Callithrix jacchus: one gene and its partner. Each later gene encodes a partner of the first gene's protein in a complex. Links are inferred from orthologs where the notes say so. Each region holds a gene or a part of one and is shown on either strand. Other genes may lie near its edges.

What was found.
Region 2: the proteins of SLC9A1 (region 1) and CHP2 are in contact, whole or in part, in a crystal structure (PDB 2BEC), measured with the Homo sapiens proteins. The link is inferred for Callithrix jacchus from reciprocal best matches to the Homo sapiens genes SLC9A1 and CHP2. Residues at the interface, in NP_003038.2 of Homo sapiens: Ser517, Ile518, Asn519, Glu520, Ile522, His523, Thr524, Gln525, Phe526, Leu527, Asp528, His529, Leu530, Leu531, Thr532, Gly533, Ile534, Glu535, Asp536, Ile537, Cys538, Gly539, His540; in NP_071380.1 of Homo sapiens: Arg30, Arg34, Leu38, Leu51, Ile54, Ala56, Leu57, Asn60, Pro61, Leu62, Ile66, Phe70, Phe83, Leu87, Phe90, Tyr118, Ala119, Leu122, Tyr123, Met136, Val139, Leu140, Met143, Ile156, Arg159, Thr160, Glu163, Ala164, Phe177, Ser180.

What each region holds. Positions count from the first base shown.
Region 1 is NC_133508.1:63,755,656-63,759,456, reverse strand, and holds part of SLC9A1 (sodium/hydrogen exchanger 1), read left to right. Parts: intron 1-44; coding exon 45-247; intron 248-2,862; coding exon 2,863-2,952; intron 2,953-3,423; coding exon 3,424-3,494; intron 3,495-3,607; coding exon 3,608-3,781; intron 3,782-3,801. UniProt on the Homo sapiens protein: Electroneutral Na(+) /H(+) antiporter that extrudes Na(+) in exchange for external protons driven by the inward sodium ion chemical gradient, protecting cells from acidification that occurs from metabolism.
Region 2 is NC_133513.1:24,356,446-24,360,985, forward strand, and holds the start of CHP2 (calcineurin B homologous protein 2), read left to right. Parts: upstream 1-1,691; 5' UTR 1,692-1,763; coding exon 1,764-1,830; intron 1,831-2,402; coding exon 2,403-2,475; intron 2,476-2,588; coding exon 2,589-2,669; intron 2,670-2,818; coding exon 2,819-2,946; intron 2,947-3,128; coding exon 3,129-3,190; intron 3,191-3,940; coding exon 3,941-4,063; intron 4,064-4,268; coding exon 4,269-4,322; 3' UTR 4,323-4,540. UniProt on the Homo sapiens protein: Functions as an integral cofactor in cell pH regulation by controlling plasma membrane-type Na(+)/H(+) exchange activity.

The DNA of each region.
Region 1 (3,801 bases):
GCACAGTTGGACCTGACCCTTACCCCCGCTGCCCTCCCCTGCAGGCGTGCTGGGCCTGACCTGGTTCATCAACAAGTTCCGCATCGTGAAGCTGACTCCCAAGGACCAGTTCATCATCGCCTATGGGGGCCTGCGAGGGGCCATCGCCTTCTCTCTGGGCTACCTCCTGGACAAGAAGCACTTCCCTATGTGTGACCTGTTCCTCACTGCCATCATCACCGTCATCTTCTTTACCGTCTTTGTGCAGGTGCTGGGACAGAGCAGAGCAGGCCCTTGCCTTGGGGACCCTGATGCTGCTCCCGTGGAAAGAGAGGAAAGCGTGTGATTTCAAATGTGATTCTAGTCCCAGCTCTACCACTAACTTGCTGTGTGACCTTGGGCAAGCCACTCCCCTTTTCTGGGCCTCAGTTTCCTCAATGGTAAAGTGAGAATTGTGATGAGTCATTGCAGAGTGACTGATCAGAATGTAAAGGAACCAGAATGCTGCCCAACATAATTTTGAAGCCATGGTGCATTAAGAGAAGTGGGTATTGGCCAGGCGCGGTGGCTCACGCCTCTAATCCCAGCACTTTGGGAGGCTGAGGTGGGTGAAATGCCTGAGGTCAGGAGTTTGAGACCAGCCTGACCAACATAGTGAAAGCGCGTCTCTACTGAAAATACAAAATTACTGGGTGTGGTGATGCATGCCTGTAATCCCAGCTACTTAGGAGGCTGAGGCAGAAGAATCATTTGAACCCGGGAGGTGGAGGTTGCAGTGAGCTGAGATCGTGCCATTGCACTCTGGCCTGGGCAGCAAGAGTGAAATTCCATCTTCCAAAAAAAAGAGAGAGAGCGAGAGAAGTGGGTGCAGACAACAGGCCCAAGATCTCTCTTTGCTACAAACTCTTTGTATGGGTTTAGGCAAGAGATTTCATATCTTAGGTTCTCAGTTTCTGCATCTGTAAAATGGGAATAATATCACAGCATGGGGAACTGGAAAGGGCTCTGAGCCAGCAGCAGGAGGCCTGGTCAGCCCTAGTTCTGTGTTGTCTCTTTGACCCTAAGAAAGACCCTCCCTTCTCTGGGTCTCAGTTCCCATCTGTAAAGTGAGGAAACCGGGCGAGGTGATTCCCAAGATTCTTTCCAGTTTGCTGGTCAGTGATTTCTGTATATTTAAATGGCCCAGGCTTAGCTAAGAGCACTCTCCTGCCTAAGGTCCCCAAGGAAGCCCAGCCTGTACAGTAATCTGATGGTACAGATTACTCCACCTTACCTGACTTTGTCTGACCTTGGACAAATGAGAAATACTCTATCTGAGCCTCCATTTCTTTTCTTTTTTGAGCCAGAGTCTTGCTCTGTCACCTAGGCTGGAGTGCAGTGGCATGATCTCAGCTCACTGCAACCTCCACCTCCTAGGTTCAAGTGATTCTCCTGTCTCAGCCTCCCAAATAGCTGGGATTATAGACATGTGCCACCACAACCTGGCTAATTTTTATATTTTTAGTAGAGATAGGGTTTCACCATGTTGGCCAGGCTGGTCTCGAACTCCTGACCTCAGGCGATCTGCTCACCTTGGCCTCCCAACGTGCTGGGATTATGGGCGTAAGCCACCGCGCCCGGCCTGAGCCTCCATTTCTTTACCATCCTGTCTGTCTTTTCTGGGCACTAATCCTCAAAAAGCCCTAGATGGGATATATCTTTGCTTTCTCTTGAGAAAAATAGATAGGGGAAACCTGGGGCTGGGCTTATTTTCTGTCCTTTAAAAGGAGAGGGTGCCCTGGTGCAGTGGCTCATACCTATAATCCCAGTACTTTGGGTGCATGAGGCAGGAGGATCCCTTGAGCCCAGGAGTTCAAGACCAGCCTAGGCAACATAGCAAGACCTTGTCTCTACAAAAAATAAAAAAAATTAGCCAGGTGTGGTGGTGCACACCTGTAGTCCCAGCTACTTGGGAAGCTGAAGTGGGAGGATAGCTTGGACCCAAGAGGTTGAGGCAACTATGAGCCATAATTGTGCCACTGTACTCCTCCAGCCTGTGTGACAGAGTGAGACTCCATCTCAAAAAAAAAAAAAAAAAAAAAAAGGGAGAGGAGGCTGCCACTTTTGTTGTCTTGCCCTGCTTACGTCTTCAAAAAAATTTTTTTATATGCTAATGATTTTCCAAGCCCATTGAAGGCAGCATTGGGGAGGAGCCCTCCCTCCAGAGCCAGCCTGCCTGGGTTTGAATCATGGCTGTACTGCTTCTACGGGATCTTAGAAAGCCGCTTAACCTCTCTGAGCCTTAGTTTCTGCATCTGTTAAATAGGAACAAGGAAGGGTCTCCCACTTAGTGCTGTGGGTACTGGAGAGCTGATACTAGAAGACTTACAAGCGCATGCGTTGGTCACATGGCAAGCATGCAGTTGAAGCTGCTGCTGCTGTTATTACTGGGTCCTCCCAGCAGTCCTTGGGGGAAGGCAGTGCAGAGGTGGTTCTCCCTGTGTGGGGCCTGACCTCCTTGGGCTTGCAGAGCAAGTGTATGGTACAGTCCACATCTGAACCCAGGCTCTCTGCCACCTGGCCCAGGCCAGATGACCAGCGTGGGGGTCATTTGGTGGTCAAACCTCTGGCCATGTCCCCAGGAAGAGGCAGGCCTTAAGGACCTCACCTTGCATGGGTGAGGACCCTGCAAGGAGCTGGGAGAGACGAGGGCCTGGCAGGAAGGCAGGGTTCTCTAGATAAGTGCTGGGAGGTGGGGGAGTTCTCACACCCTTGGGTCCTGGGAGAGGGCAAAATAGAGAGGGCATCCTAGCCCTCGGGGCCTGGGGTGCGGGAGGGAGGCTCTGCGGCCTCCCTACTTGGGTAGCAGAACTGGAGTGCCTGACACCTGCCTGCCCCCAACAGGGCATGACCATTCGACCCCTGGTAGACCTGTTAGCTGTGAAGAAAAAGCAAGAGACAAAGCGCTCCATCAACGAGGAGATCCACACACAGGTACTGGAGTGCGGGCTGGGTCCTCGGTTGCAGGAAAAGGAGCGGGGAGCAGCTGTGCCTCATGTCCCTGCCCCCCATCAGCCCCTCCTCCCTGTGTTGGTGCCCAGGGGCTCCCTCTGCTCAGGAGGCCGCCAGGGTCTAGCCATAGGAAGGTGTGGTGTGAGCAGCTGGGAGCCTGAGGAGGGGGGCATCATGCCATCTCTGCTTCCATTTGAAACCAATGCCAGGCATGGGTCCCAGGTGGGATTAGAGAAGGGGGCTCAGCCGGAGACAGGTGAGGGTTTGAGATACCCAGAGTCAGGGCTAGTGGGTTCAATGAGTGGGGTGTGGACACCACCTCCTGGCTGCTCATGGAACCACAGGGCTGGACCCAGCAGGGCTGCAGCTCGGGGAGGAAGCAGGACTAGTCAGAGGTCTTGGTTGGGAAGGCGCCCCACAGCGAGGCTTGACCTGGCCCTGGGCCCCTTTCAGTTCCTGGACCACCTTCTGACAGGCATCGAGGACATCTGTGGCCACTACGGTCACCACCACTGGAAGGACAAGTAGGTAGCAGGCCTGGTGGGCAGGCAGGGAGGGGCAGGCAAGGGACTCCCCAGCCTGGGCATCTCCCCACTCCTGGGAGCTGGGTCCATCGTCTCCCTCCTCCTCCCACCAGGCTCAACCGGTTTAATAAGAAATATGTGAAGAAGTGTCTGATAGCTGGCGAGCGCTCCAAGGAGCCCCAGCTCATTGCCTTCTACCACAAGATGGAGATGAAGCAGGCCATTGAGCTGGTGGAGAGTGGGGGCATGGGCAAGATCCCCTCTGCCGTCTCCACCGTCTCCATGCAGTGAGTGCCGGGGCCACCCA
Region 2 (4,540 bases), on another chromosome or scaffold:
TCACTCTGTCACTCAGGCTGGAGGGTAATGGCTCTATCTCAGCTCACTGCAACCTCTGCCTCCCGGGTTCAAGCGATTCTCCTGCCTCAGTCTCCCCAAGTAGCTGGGATTACAGGTGCCCACCAGCTAATTTTTGTACTTTTAGTAGACGGGGTTTCACCATGTTGGTAAAGCTGGTCTCGAACTCCTGACCTCAGGAGATCCACCACCTTGGACACCTAAGGTGCTGGGGTTACAGGCATGAGCCACCACACCTGGCCCCTTTTATTTTCTTTCTACTGTCACCCAGACTGGAGTCATCACGGCTCACTGCTCAAGAGATCTCCTATCTCAGGCACCCAAGTAGCTGGGACCACAGGCATGTGCCATGACACCTGGTTAATTTTTTTTTTTTTTGTATTTTTTTGTAGAGATGAGGTCTCACTATGTTGCTTAGGCTGATCTTGAACTCCTGGGCTCAAGCAATCTTCCTGCCCCTACCTTCCAAAGTCTTGGGACTATAGGTGTGAGCCACCATGTCTGCCTGAAATTTCAATATCACAGCTATATTGTACATCTATTTATGTGCTGTGTGTATGCTATGCTTTCTACATTAAAAAAATGTTCTATTTTTTTCCCCTGTGGGGTGTGATAGAGACCGCACTGAGAACGCATGTTTTACATAATTAGTTCACAACCTGCCCCCTGGCAGCCTCCACCACATAAAGTCAGAAGAAGGCAGCCCAGCAGGGCCGACAAGGAATGTGTGAACGGATGCATATAAAGTGCTTAGCAAAGCGTGGTAAACAAGAGCCCTTGCTGTTGTCATTCTTGCTTTAAGCCCAGTCCCAGTGATGTCTGTAACTCTCTCTTGGGCCAAAGAGTCCCGTGGCTCTGGAGGGCTGGTCACAGGACTAAGTCATTCCCAGTCTGGAGCGCTGTGTTGGCACTAGGTACCTAAGGGAGTGAACTGGGCTTGGAGGGACTGTGGCCAGAGGACAGCTCTGGGCCTGGTGGTGTCAGACTTGAGATTTGTCAGAAAAAGCCAGGAATGTGGATTTTGGGTTAAATCTCCTGAATGTTAAGCATTGGCTCAATTAAACAACAATGAGGCTATGTGGACCAAACAAAAGGGATGAAACTAAGATATACTGACTTTCCCAAAGTCAGGGGTACCGCTGGGATTCCAATAAGGACTCCCAACCCAGTGCTCTTTCCACTTAACCTAACGCACAGTTTTCATCTCACCGCTCTCCGCTTCAACTTCCCGGTTTTTGGGAGTCCTTCGATGCCTCTCCTCCCTTCCCCTAGGAGGCCACCCGCCTCCCAGCACGGCGTGGTCGCTACCCAGCAGGTCTGGTCTCCCAGGGCTTCCTGAGTAGACGCCGCCGGCGAGCGCTCTGGGGCTGGGAGAGTCCGGGGACCGCGAAGGAGGAGGTGGCTCGAGAGTCGGGCGGACCGTGGGAACCGGCCCCGGGCGGGGTAGGCGTGGAAAGGAGGGGCTCCAGCGTCGACCAGCCTCTCCCGCGCCGACCGCCAAATCTCGGAGCTGAAACAGCCTGTTGTTCGCAGCCGCCCTCTGACCCGCCACCCTGGACATTGTTTTCCATTCGCCCGGGTTGCGGGTGGGAGGCGAGGCACGTCGGGGTTCCAGAGCTTGGCGGCGCGCCAGGCTTGTGACCTTCATCCCCTAGGGCCACGGGGGCGGCCACGCCTTTCCAGCCGGAGGAGAGAACGCGTGGGGTCCGGGTGGCTGCTCCTGCCCTCCCGCCTCCAGCTCGGCCATGGGCTCGCGCAGCTCCCACGCCGCGGTCATTCCCGACGTGGACAGCATTCGGCGAGAGACCGGCTGTGAGTGCGCCCGCGCCGGCAGCTGCGGAGGGGACGGGACGAACCCGGGCGTCCGGGGCTGGGGATCCGAGGAGCTTGAACGCCGCGTAGAGGTCACCAGGGAAGGAGTTGGGTTGAGGGATGGACGAACTTACAAGTCCGGGATGCGGGGTTCCCCGGAGCTGGAAGACCAAGACCCCAGCGCCTGGGATCTCTGGGCTCCGGGCGGGTTAACCAAGGGGTCCCAGTCTCCAAGTCTGGGGAGGATCCAGGTTCACAGGGTTGGAGTCCAGACGAAACCAGGCCACCCAGGTGTCCTCGAGCCCGGATCGAGGCTGAAGACAGAGCTGACGGCTGATGGAAGGGATGGCTTCTGTACTTTGGTTTTCGGGACGTTGCGAGCCGCCCGAATCTCGAACCTGGATTTTTGCGGGGTCGTGTCATTCTCCCTCCACCCCGGCCAGCTCCATCCTCCGGGATGATTGTCCCTTCCAGCCACCCCCCATTGTCCCCGGCCCACCTTCCCAGCCGATTGAGGCGGGTTTCTGGAGCGCGCCCCGCAGTGTCACCCCCCACCCCATTGCCTCCCGCAGTCTCCCAAGCCAGCCTCATCCGCCTGCACCACCGGTTCCGGGCACTGGATAGGAACAAGAAGGGCTACCTGAGGTAAGGAGGAGCCCACCGCATGACTTCTGGCCTCTGTCTCTCTGACTCCACGTCCCTCTTTGACCCTCCATCTGGCATCTCTGCCTTATCCTCTTTGAACTTTGACTTCGCAGCCGCATTGATCTCCAGCAGATAGGGGCGCTGGCTGTGAACCCCCTGGGAGACCGCATTATAGAAAGCTTCTTTCCCAATGGGTGAGGCCTGCTGACTTGGGGAGGTGGAGGTGGGAAACCGGTGTGTGAGTGGGTGGGAGGGGAGGTTAGAGACTTGAGGCAGAGTGATGGACAAGGTAACCACTACCCCCTTCCATTCTGCGCCTCTCCTCCCCGCCCTGTCTCCCCAGGAGCCAGCAAGTGGATTTCCCGGGCTTTGTCAGGGTCCTGGCTCATTTTCGCCCTGTAGAAGATGAGGACACAGACCTAGACCCCAAGAAACCTGAACCTCTCAACAGCAGAAGGAACAAACTTCACTGTGAGTTTGTGAGGACCCACCAAGGGAGAAGGCAGATGTACTCACACCAGGGACAGGCTCCAGGAATCTCCCACTACCTTCCTGAGCCCACTGGCAACTGCCCCCCTCCTCCAGGGTGGCCTCCTGCTGGAAGAGAGCCAGGGAAGACCCACCTTCCTTTTCCCCTCCCACCCTCTCCCCAGATGCATTTCAGCTCTACGACCTGGATCGCGATGGGAAGATCTCCAGGCATGAGATGTTGCAGGTTGGCAGAAAGCGAGGGCAAGAGATGTGATGCGTGAAGTGGGGGATGGTTGAATGCAATAGTGTGAGGGATGGGGTGGGATGACTGGGGAACTGGGGCACAGATGATTGGGGTATTGGTTGGGAAATGGGAATGGGTGGGGTTGGAGTATGGGTTTGTTGGAAGTTAGATGGGGAGCAGTTGACTATGAGGTTGGGAATAGATCAGTGATTCTCAACTGGGGGTGATTTTGCTTCTTGAGCAAACATCTTGCATTATCTGGAGATGCTTTATGTTGTCACAATGAGGGAGAGAATGTGCTACTTGGCATCTAGTGGTTAGAGATCAGGAATGTGGCTATATGTCATGCAATACCCAGGAGAGCCTCCCCCAGTAAGGAGCTATCTGGCTTCAAATGTCAATGGTGCCAAGATTGAGAAACTCTGGAACAGATGTGATGGAATGAGGATGGAATTACAAATCCTTAGTGGTTGAGGTGGCGAATGGTGTGGAGGATGGATGGAGGTTGGGTGATAAAGTTGGGTAATGAGTTTGAGCATATTTTGAGGGTAGTGTGGGATGGTGAGGGAGAGATAGATTAGTTGTTGAAGCAGTAGGGAAAATTATTGGGGAAATATGGTGAAAAATGTATGAAGGATGGATTATAAAATCAGTAATAACTTCTGGGATGAGGTGGACAAGGTTTAGGGGATGGGGGAGTAGCAACCTTTGTGCCCCGTCTTTATGGCTGCCTCTTCACTCATCTTCCAGGTTCTCCGGCTGATGGTCGGGGTACAGGTGACTGAAGAGCAGCTGGAGAACATCGCTGACCGCACTGTACAGGAGGCTGATGAAGATGGGGATGGGGCTGTGTCCTTCCTGGAGTTCACCAAGGTCAGGGTGCCCTTGTGGACTAGGGAGTGGAGATCAGGAGTCCCTGGGGCAGACAGACATGGGAAATGTTCAACGGAGGAGGGCGGAAAGATAGGGTACCTGGGAACGATGGGGTCTCTGGAATGAGTAGAACCCTGGGAGAGGAGGTTGGGAGCATGGAGAGTTGAGAGTCAAGCCTCTTACCTGCCATTCATTTCCCCCTCAGTCATTAGAGAAGATGGACGTTGAGCAAAAAATGAGCATCCGGATCCTGAAGTGACTCTGTTTGTGCCTTGGGTTTGCTCCTGCAACCAGTATCTGCTTGGAATTCATCCAAAGCCCCTGTGGACGCAGGGCACCCTCAACTGTATTCTTACTTCTAACTCTATTTAGGGCCAAAGAAAGCTGGAAGGATGTGTGCTAAAGTCTAGCTCAGCAGTCTCTAATCTTTTTGGCATCAGGGACAATTTTTCCACAGATGGGTGACGGGGGATGGTT